Linked DNA regions of Mus musculus. The protein of the gene in region 2 binds, or shares a complex with, the protein of the main gene of each other region. Links are inferred from orthologs where the notes say so. Each region holds a gene or a part of one and is shown on either strand. Other genes may lie near its edges.

What was found. The genes of interacting proteins can lie anywhere in the genome.
Region 1: the proteins of Gnao1 (region 2) and Adra2a are in contact, whole or in part, in a cryo-EM structure (PDB 7W6P), measured with the Homo sapiens proteins. The link is inferred for Mus musculus from reciprocal best matches to the Homo sapiens genes GNAO1 and ADRA2A. Residues at the interface, in NP_066268.1 of Homo sapiens: Ile28, Lys32, Lys193, Asn194, Leu195, Asp218, Phe336, Thr340, Asp341, Ile343, Ile344, Ala345, Asn347, Leu348, Gly350, Cys351, Gly352, Leu353, Tyr354; in NP_000672.3 of Homo sapiens: Arg77, Arg146, Ser149, Ile150, Ala153, Ile154, Asn157, Leu158, Arg160, Pro162, Ile234, Ala238, Arg241, Arg383, Arg386, Phe387, Val390, Leu391, Phe444, Asn445, His446.

What each region holds. Positions count from the first base shown.
Region 1 is NC_000085.6:54,043,599-54,048,058, reverse strand, and holds the start of Adra2a (alpha-2A adrenergic receptor), read right to left. Parts: upstream 2,801-4,460; 5' UTR 1,845-2,800; coding exon 447-1,844; 3' UTR 1-446. UniProt on the Homo sapiens protein: Alpha-2 adrenergic receptors mediate the catecholamine-induced inhibition of adenylate cyclase through the action of G proteins.
Region 2 is NC_000074.6:93,809,052-93,814,200, reverse strand, and holds the start of Gnao1 (guanine nucleotide-binding protein G(o) subunit alpha), read right to left. Parts: upstream 3,364-5,149; 5' UTR 2,866-3,363; coding exon 2,748-2,865; intron 2,551-2,747; coding exon 2,508-2,550; exon of another isoform or gene 646-2,507; intron 1-645. UniProt on the Homo sapiens protein: Guanine nucleotide-binding proteins (G proteins) function as transducers downstream of G protein-coupled receptors (GPCRs) in numerous signaling cascades.

The DNA.
Region 1 (4,460 bases), on a different chromosome or scaffold from region 2:
GGCAGGACCGCCCTGAATGATCTTTATTTATTTATTTAAGGAAGGGGGTGTGGAGGAGATAATTAGCCAGGACTAGAGGAAACCTTGGTTCATTAACCCTTTGGCAGCCATGCCCTCTCTAGTACTGTGCTTGCTCTGAAGAGCTTGGGAGAGTCAGACTTGGGGATATGACAATATCATCAGGAAACCATACTGATCAGGGGTAGCCCACCAGGAAACTGGCTGTGGGCTGGGAACAACCACAACAACCAGCAAAAGGGCTCATGTGTCCCTCTCAGCCAGAACTTTACACATTGTAACAAAAGGTCTCAAAGGCCACGGAGCTCCCTCCCAGCTGGGTAGGTCCGGGGTTTCAGAGTGCTAGGGGCTGCATGCGTAGACGCACCCCCTCGAAGCCCAGGGCCTGCGTCTGACCATTGTCTGCACGCAGGGCAAGGCCCATGCGCTCACACGATGCGTTTTCTGTCCCCACGGCAGAGGATCTTCTTGAAGGCGCGTCGGAAGTCGTGGTTGAAGATGGTGTAGATAACAGGGTTCAGCGAGCTGTTGCAGTAGCCGAACCAGAAGAAGAAGTTGAAGAGCTGGCTGGGCACCGGGCAGCCGACCGCTATGAGCGTGTAGGTGAAAAAGAACGGAAACCAACACACCACGAACACGCCGATCACCACCGCCAGCACGAACGTGAAGCGTTTCTCCCGGTTTTGCCTCCCGCGCCAGCGCGACGCTTTGGCGCCCCCGCCGCGCTCCTCTCCGTGCCCGGACCCCGAAGCCCCCGGCCCCGCGGCCCCGGGCCCGCGCCGCGGCAGACTGTCCCCCGGCTTCACCTGACTCGCCCGGGTCTTGCCCTTGGCTCGGGGGCCGCGGTCGGGTCTGCGGGGCCCCGGGGGCCGCTCGGCGTGCTCGGACGACGAACTCTCCTCTAGGTCCAGCGCATCCCCATCGCGGGGCCCGGCGGGCGCGGGCTCCCCCGGGGCACCGTTAAGCTGGGTGGGCAGCGGCTCCGCCTCAGCGCCCGTGGGACCCGCGCCGCGCTCCGGGCCCAGCCCGTTGGGCCTGCGATCGGCGCCCCCCGGCGGCGCGGAACAGGCGTCCGGACCCCGGCGGCTGGGAGGCACGCGGGTGCGACGCTTGGCGATCTGGTAAATACGCACGTAGACCAGGATCATGATGAGGCAAGGCGCGAAGAAGGAACCGATGGACGAGGAGATGACATACCACTTCTGGTCGTTGATCTTGCAGCTTGGCTCGGCCGGCTGCTGCCCGCCGCCAGCGCCCTTCTTCTCTATGGAGATGAGTGGCGGGAAGGAGATGACAGCCGAGATGACCCACACGGTGACAATGATGGCCTTGATGCGACGCGGCGTGCGCTTCAGGTTGTACTCGATGGCCTGCGTGATGGACCAGTAGCGGTCAAGGCTGATGGCGCACAGGTGCACTATGGACGACGTGCAAAAGAGCACGTCGAGAGCCAAATAGATCTCACACCACACCTTACCAAAGTACCAGTAACCCATAACCTCGTTGGCCAAAGAAAAGGGAATGACCAGCGTGGCCACCAGGATGTCCGCTGAGGCCAGGGACACCAGGAAGAGGTTTTGGGGAGCTTTGAGCGCGCGACTGGTGAACACCGCGATAATAACCAGCACGTTGCCAAATACTGTGAACAGCATGAGCAGGCCAGCCAGGCAAACCAGCGTCAGTGTCACCTGCAGGGAGTAAGGGGTGGCTCGGGTGCCGCCTCCGGGCGCTTCGGTCCCGTTCCAGCTGCTGTTGCCGGCATCCGGCTGCAGTGAGCCCATGGGCGCAAAGCTGCCCTCGGCCAGCGGCTGCTCCTGGCGGAACATGAACGCGGGTGCTGGTTCTCGTGGGCCTGCTGCCAGCTGCCTTCCGGCCCCGCGTCCGTGGGTCCTCCTCTTCCTCCGGTGCGGGGTTCGTCCCGCCGCGCCTCACATAAGGAAGAGGGCCGCAGGGAGCTCGGGCCCAAGCTGGGGACCGCTAGTGGTCCATGGACTGGAGCCCGCGAACTGGCACCGGTTCGTCCTTCCGACGCTCCGGGTGGGTGCTTTCTCTCTCCCAGCTCCTCAAACACAGCCAAGTTTTATTTCTAAGCGGCAGGATCGAGTAGGGCCAGCTGGTGGTTAGAGATTTTATTCTTCAAGAAAAGAGAAAAGAAATTATCGGTGGCCTGATGATTTGGAAAGATGTCAGAAATTTATACAAATGCATTTAGCTAGTCATCTATACCTTGATTCTTAAGCTGAGCGAAAGCATGAAGTCTTACCCCAAGAGGCAGCGGAGGGGTGTTGGTGTGGGCTCGGAGTCCTAGGTCTGTCTTCTTATACCCTCGAAGAGATTTCCAACTCCGTCGCTACCCTCCAGGCGGGGTGGCGAGGGCTGGGCCGGACCTCCGGCGAAGGCGCGGACTCTGCCTCCTCTAGGAGCCCCACGGGACTTCCAAAGTTGTGCGCTCTGCTGGGGCTGGGACTCTGTACACAGAGCTCGGGGGCGGCGGCGGTGGGGTGAAGGGTGTGGGGGCCGCATGAAGCCGCACCCCCACCACCACCACCTCGGTCCTCAGGGCCAAGCTAGGTGAGCGACCGGCTCTCCAGGAGCCGCGGCGGAGCCAAGGGTGGCTGCTAGCCGCGATCTGGGTGGGCGCTGAGCGCCACAGACCCGGCGGGGGTCGGAGGGCCGCGTGAGTTTTCGCAGGACCGCAGGACTTGGAGCTGGAGGCGCTGGGTGGCTGGGCGGTGTGCGCCGGCTGCTGGGCGTCTGCACGGAAGCGGGAGCCGAGGCTGCTCCGCCGCTCTACGCTGGACTGGTTTTATAGCCCCAGGATGAAGCCGGCGTTGCCGAGCAGCCGGCGTCAGCCCCCACGTGGGAAGTCGACCCTCCTCCGCCCCTCGCGCCTCCCCTCCTTAGGTCTAGAGCCCGCACCCGAGTCGGACCCGGGAGAGCGCTGCCTCTGGGACCCGGCTTTTGGAAAGACGGGTACAGGGAGCGAGGGGCAATAAGAGAGAGCCTAAGGAGTGGGGAGCGGCCCCTGCTGGGAGTTGGCCGTTCGGCTACTAGCTGGCCCAGGAGACAGTAGCAGGCGCCCAGCGGTACACCGATCTAGCTGGGTTTTAGCAGAAGAGGGTGCCAGGGTGCTGGGACCCGAATTAGGAGATGCAGAGTGGCATAAGAGTCGCTGGCGAGCAGCCCCGCCCCAGGTCAAGCGCAGGTGCTTCTGGTGACTGGGATGAAAGGGATCCCGGAGAGGTAAGCGTGTGCGGGTTCCTAAGGAACCACTGGAGCGGAATGGACCAGCATCCACGAGAGCAGACCAGGCCGGAGTTATCCATACTTAGGGAAGAGAAGGCCTCCTATCCTAGCAGCTGCCGGGACTCTCAAGGCCTGGACTCTGCACTGCGCCCCTTTGAAAGGCGGTGGGGAAGGGTCCTGGAGGGGTAGGCCCTGAGCCATGACAGAACGAGAGCGCACTGACACCTGCTGGCCGCTGGTCGTCACGGCTGGAAAGCGACTTAAGGGCTCCAGGCTCCTCTGGAGTCCTTTCCTCCATTTTTCTCCTATCTTGGGGGCAAGTTTGGACTAAGCTGGGGCGGCGGGGGTGGGGGGGGGGGAGGGGACACGGACAGATTTCAAACTGCACTATGTCATGATGCAGAAATCTTCAGGTTGTATAGATCTACCTCTGATGAGAGTAAGGCTCGGAACCTTCTACAGATGTGAGAGTCCTGGATCTTCCTCTCTGCTTGCCTGGCTTTAAACTACTGGGAACCGTTAAGCATTAGTTGAGGCACAGCTACTTTATGAAGAGCGCCATGACATTATAGGTAGATGTAAGCCTTACGCTGTTTTAATCAGTACCTACTGTGTGCACGAATTAAAGTATTACACTGAACTCCACAAATGTATAGGATTATTATGTGTTTGTCAAAAAGGGGTTTCTGATTATGGAAATAGAAAAGTTAACTATCCTGACTTGGTCATTACATACTGTGTGTAATATTGAATTAACATACAGTATCTTACACATCTGTACAATTAAACGTGAAAGAAAAACATCTTATTAGACTCTATCCCCACTTACATGGCCTTTTCTCCTACACCCCCAATACACAGATAAGTACACACATCTGCACAGCATCTGTCGGTGAGGGCAGGGTGCTAGCCAAGAAAGAAAGGGTGTTTTCTATGTTCTCTCTCTGGTGAGAAAGGTAGGAGCTTGGCAGTAGATGGCAAGGTTTCTAAGCACTCAGGCAGGAGTATCTGTCGCACCAGATACACTGTGCCATCCGAACTCTTTCTTCAGACGAGCAGCAGGAAGATCACGGAGAACCAGAGAGCACAGAATGTCAACAGGGTACACACGAGACCTAAGAAAGCATCTGTCATACTTCAGAGATCACTACACCTAAATGTCACACTCAGTCATCCAAGCCAGGGTCCAAGGTCCG
Region 2 (5,149 bases):
CACGTTTTGTTCTTAAAGGGAAACAAACAAACAAAAAAAAAATCAATTACAAAAAAAAAATCTCAGTTTTGACAGGCAGTTTTCACAGAAAAGGTGTTTGTGGGAATAGAGAAAGGAAGAAATGCAGGAAAAGAGAAAAATGTTCTGATTTCCGATTAAATAGAATCAAACATCGGACACTTCACCCCATCTTCCTCAGTGCAACCCAATATAAGTCAGACGCACAGGACTTTCCTCAGAATGTCTCCTCAGTCTTCCTTTAAGATTTCGTGCCCCAGGACTTAATCAGGAATTTCCATTCTAAAGTGGCACACGGATCTCCTCAGAGAGCTAAGCTTTCTTTGAATAAAAAAGGCAAGTTGCCCTTTTGGGGACTCGATACGTATTTTTAAACCTCTTATTAAATCAACCTAATTTATGAGGCATGTTCAGGAAGAGCAGGTAGCAAGCTGCTTTGGTGGATGCAAAGTTTCTTTGCCATCCCCTCCCACACCCCCAATTCCACCTCCTTTGCCCTCCTCCTGCCGAGGGTTTCCGAATGTCTTCGGGGCCTTTCCGAAGCCGCCGAAGCCGCTCGGCCCTCTCCGCTTGGACCCCGACTGTGCTCCGAACACTGTCGAGATCCTCCGAGCCCCGCTCCCAGGTCAGGCCGAGCGGAGCCGAACACCGCCGAGCCAAGCTCAGCCCCATCGACTTTTCCAGCCTCGGCTGGGCGCTGTCCACCACTTACAACGCCTGAAACCTCACCCTGGCTCAGGAGGCCGAGGCTTCTACCGGACTCCCGGCCTGCCACAGTGGATTACAGACTTGTGAAGTTTCGAAACCTGCCCCTAAGGAGAAAGAGGTGGCGCGGTTTGCATTTCCCGACACGCGAGGGCTCCAGGCAGATGCAACATGCACCTTGTTGCAAAGAGCAATTCCCCAGGCCCCGCCTCCCCATCCATTTGGACTGCACAAGCCCCAGAGAAACCCCAGGCCAAATTACTGGTGGCTCAGAAGGGTGAGGCTAGCCGAAGGGGCCTGTGAGAAGAAAGCCCCCGGGAGCTCTCGAACGCAAATAAGAACATGCCAAGCAGATGGGAGAAACTGTCTCCTAGTCGCTGCTCCCTACCATCATGGCGCCGCCTGGAACTCGCTTGTCATGCCTGTTACACATGCAAGAATTTTTGCTTCTTGGTTTTGAAACCACAAGCACGATTTGTCTCCCACCCACCTTCCCTCGAAAGGGGCTTTTATTTTCCATTGTTTTCCTACGGGATGCAATTACTTCGGCTATTCTGTCAAGTTGAAAAATAATCATTTTTGTTTACAGCACAGCAACCTCTAATTAGGAGCTGTGTGTGCACGAAGGTGTCACAGCAAAGCGACATGGAATCCTCGCTAAACGGTCCTAACGAACTCCTCCGTCCCGAACTGACAGGCCAACGGAAACAGGGCCAGGAGGCCCGGAAGGCACGCACCCGTTCCCTGCCGGCCACCCCTCCCCAGGCAGAGCTGCCTGGAGGCTCACCGGGAACCGTGGAGTGGATGGGGCAAGAAGCAAGCCAGAGAGGAGGAAGGACGGGCGAGGCTCCTAAGTGGGGAAATGTGGAAAGGAAGGAATATCCCATTTTGTTTTAATTTTCAACCATCACTCAAATCCACCCCCAGTTAATTAGGAGGGGAAACTGATATCTAAGGCAGAAAGGGGGCGGTGGCAAGTAGGGCCTGAAATCCGCATTGAAGGTAGAATACAGAGTGTAAATACAACGATAAAGGCTACACAGTGACTGGAACCTGCGGGTGTCAGAAGAGCAAAGGCTGGAGGGCCAGGGAGGAGAGGGGCTGGAGGGCAGATGAAACTGGCTTTTAGCCCCACAGACCCTCCCACCTCTGCCTTGGATAAGGCTGTGTCTGTCACATCCGCTTGGAAACCCATCCTTTCTCCCCAGTGCACGCCCCCTCCCCTAACCCTTGCTCGCTTTGGGGGGGGGGGTCGTCTAAGCCACAGCCACCAGGAATTCAGCACCAAACTCGTGAACAGCAAACACTTGATCCTCCACCCCAATCTGCTAGGGCTGGGTCCCCTCCATGTTTTAGTCAAGTTCAAAATCACTGCCTCAAGAGAAGCAGGGGGAAGTGGGATTCGAGGGGTGGGGTGGAGGAGGAGGGGAAAGAAGATGAGGCAGAGACAGAAATGGAGGCAGTGAAACACGAAATACTCCACGAGCAAGAGTTATGATCATAAGCACGCCAATAGTGTGATGTTCTGATCAATATGGCGGACACTGTCATTCATACAACTAGAGGCGCTCTCATTCCCTCCCCGCAAACACCGACCCCAGGAGTTGGGGTGGGGGACCCAGAACCAACGTAGGGAGTGGGGGAGGGGAGGCAACCTCGGGTTTCTTCTGTGTGTGCGCGAATTAAAAACCAGGCCTGGAGAGCAAATATGGGTGAGCAAGATAATAAAAACGATATAAATTATTCTTAATAAAAGTACAAATCCCAATGACACAGGGACTTACTTCATCTGCTTCACAATGGTGCTTTTTCCTGATTCTCCAGCCCCTGTTGGGACACACAGAGGGGGGGAAACTGGTGAGTGTCAGCTCATGGAAATGGGAAGGGGGCTTCAAGGCATGCACAGGGTGGGCGCTCCTGGGCACAAGGTGTTGCCAACTCAGGGACCAGATTTCCCAGGGCGCAAGTCGGGTTGGGAACTGTGGCGGGGGTCGAGGGGCGGGGGTGGCTACCCAGGTCCTTACCCAGCAGGAGTAATTTCACGTCTTTGGCGGCGCTGATGCCATCTTCTTTGAGGTTTTTCTCAATCGCCTTGCTCCGCTCGAGGGCGGCTCTCTCCTCTGCGCTCAGCGTACATCCCATGGTGGCCCCTTCCCTGCCACAGCCCGCACGACTAGGCTGGCACGACTCCCCGGGTCGGCGCGCCCCCCACCCCCCCACAGAGCAGAGCCTGGGCTCAAAGGGGAGAAAATCACGATATCCTCTCCTTGGCTGGGAACAAAATTGTCGAAAGACCAGAATCCCCCCAAAAGGACAGCCTCTATTAAGATTCCAGCGGCGAAGATTAGCGGCGGCTGGCTGGGGTCTGGGGGTGTCGAGGTGAGGGTAGCCGGGGTCTGGGGCTCCGGAGCCGAGAGAGGAGGCGCCCGCGGGCCCGGGAGGCGCGGGTTGCAGGCACCGAGGCTAGTGCACGACCCAAAATAAATAAAATAGGAGTCGAGGCTGGATCCGCAGCCGGAGCCGGCGGAGGGTGGGGTGGGGGGCAGGGTGGGTCCTTCTGCCGCGGCTGCCGGAGGCGGAGGAGGAGGAGGCGGAGGCGGAGAAGGTGGAGGCGGCGGTGGCGCGGGGTGTGGAGGGAGTGAGTTAGGGGGTGCCGCTAGTGCATGTGCATCGCCGCTCCTCGGCCGTCGATGCGTCCGCGGCGCCTTCTCCGACCCCCGCGCGCGGGGCAGGGCTGGGCAGAGGGCCGGGCCGGGGGTGGGGGGTGCAGCTCTCTCTAGCGGGAGGCGGCGTCGCCGGGGCCCAGAACTCGCATCGCTCGGCGGAGCGGACAGGAGACGGGGAGAGCGCGAGGGAGCCGCGGCCAGCGGGGAGCGCGAGAAGAGGCGGGCAGGGAGGGCAGGGCACGCGCGCGCGCGCCGGGGCGGGCGGGGAGGGGGGGGGCGAGGCGAGCGCAGCTCTCGAGTGCGCCTGGTCCTGCGCAGCGCTCCGCCAGCCGCCCGCTGACGTCAGCAGGGCCGCGCGCCGGGGGCCCCGGGGACGGCGCGGGCGGGGGCGGCGCGCATGCCCGCGGGACGCGTCAGACAAGCGGGCGCGCGCGCGCGGCGCCGCCCACTCTCGGGTCCCCCTCCCCCCGCGGCTCCCGGAGCGTGCCGGGCTGGGGAGGGCGGGGCCTGGGGCCGGGCGCGCGCCTGCGCCCCACCCCGCCCCACCCCGGCGGGTCTCGCGCGCCCGGCCCGCCTCCTGTCAACCCCAGCGCGGCGGTCAGGTGGTCCCCAGCCCTGGGCCTGAGCCTCCAGCTTCCTGGTCCCTCGGGCTCTGGGTCGTGTCTCCGGCAGATCGCCTTACCGATTGTTCTCCTTCGCGGCTGGAGGTGTAGCCCCTAGTCGAGCTATGGTGCCTCCGCAGATGTGAGGAGGTAGTGGGTCAGGATAAACCCGCTCACTCCATAATAACGCGCTGGGGCTCAGTGACGGATTTGGGTCCGCATTTATTGAGCATCTAGTGTCTAGAGACTGGGCTAGTAGAGAGGAAAGTAGCAGGCAGAGAAGAGGCAAGGCCTGCTCCGCAGGAGTTTTTGCCTCCCTTAGCCAATGTGAGCCTTACCGCGAGATGCCCACAACCTCTGTCGCTAGAGATGGTTACCATCCTAGGATGGCTTGATGCCAAAGGCCCAGGGACAGTCTTTCATGAAAGCCTCTAGCAAATACTTGTTCCCTTAAATTTTTCTCTATATGATGAATCGATGGCCTCCCTTGGTTCTTGAATTCTTGTATCCCCAGAACATAATCCGGTAAAAATGAATTCTTCATAGGTTTGTGATAAGAGATTTTTTTTCTTCCTTTCATCTTAAAATAACAAACTACTAGAAGAAATACACCCTTCATATCTTCTCAGATAGTCAGAAACCAGGGTCAGTTATTCAGCAAACAGCGAACCCAGCACTGGGGAAAACAGTAGACAGTTGCCAAAGATCGGTCATGTTCTGGGTGGTCTCAGAGCCTGAAGACATTAATTCTTACTGCACAAAATAGTTTTACAATCAGTTCCACCAGTCAGCCCCAGGGGCCTTCCTAGATGGAGGAGCCAACAGGCAAGACTGCCCAGGATAAAGACAGGCAAGGGGCCAGTGGAAAACACTTTCTTTTTTCGTAACAGTTGGGCATTTCTGTGACTCTGAAAGTAAACTTGTTTGCTTCATTTCAGCAATGGAGAGAAAATCCTATTTTGGAAATGTCACTCAGCATAAAAATATATTTGCAAGGGGGAAAAGGGGCAATTAAGACCCACTCAGAAGAAAATATTTTTTCTCCTGCATGTTTTTTTTTCATAAGTTTGGTGTTTCCCAATGTATGTTTGTCTCATTCGACAAATGTCTGTGTCAAAAGTATATGTAATATAATTGGAATATTTAAATTTGAGTCAT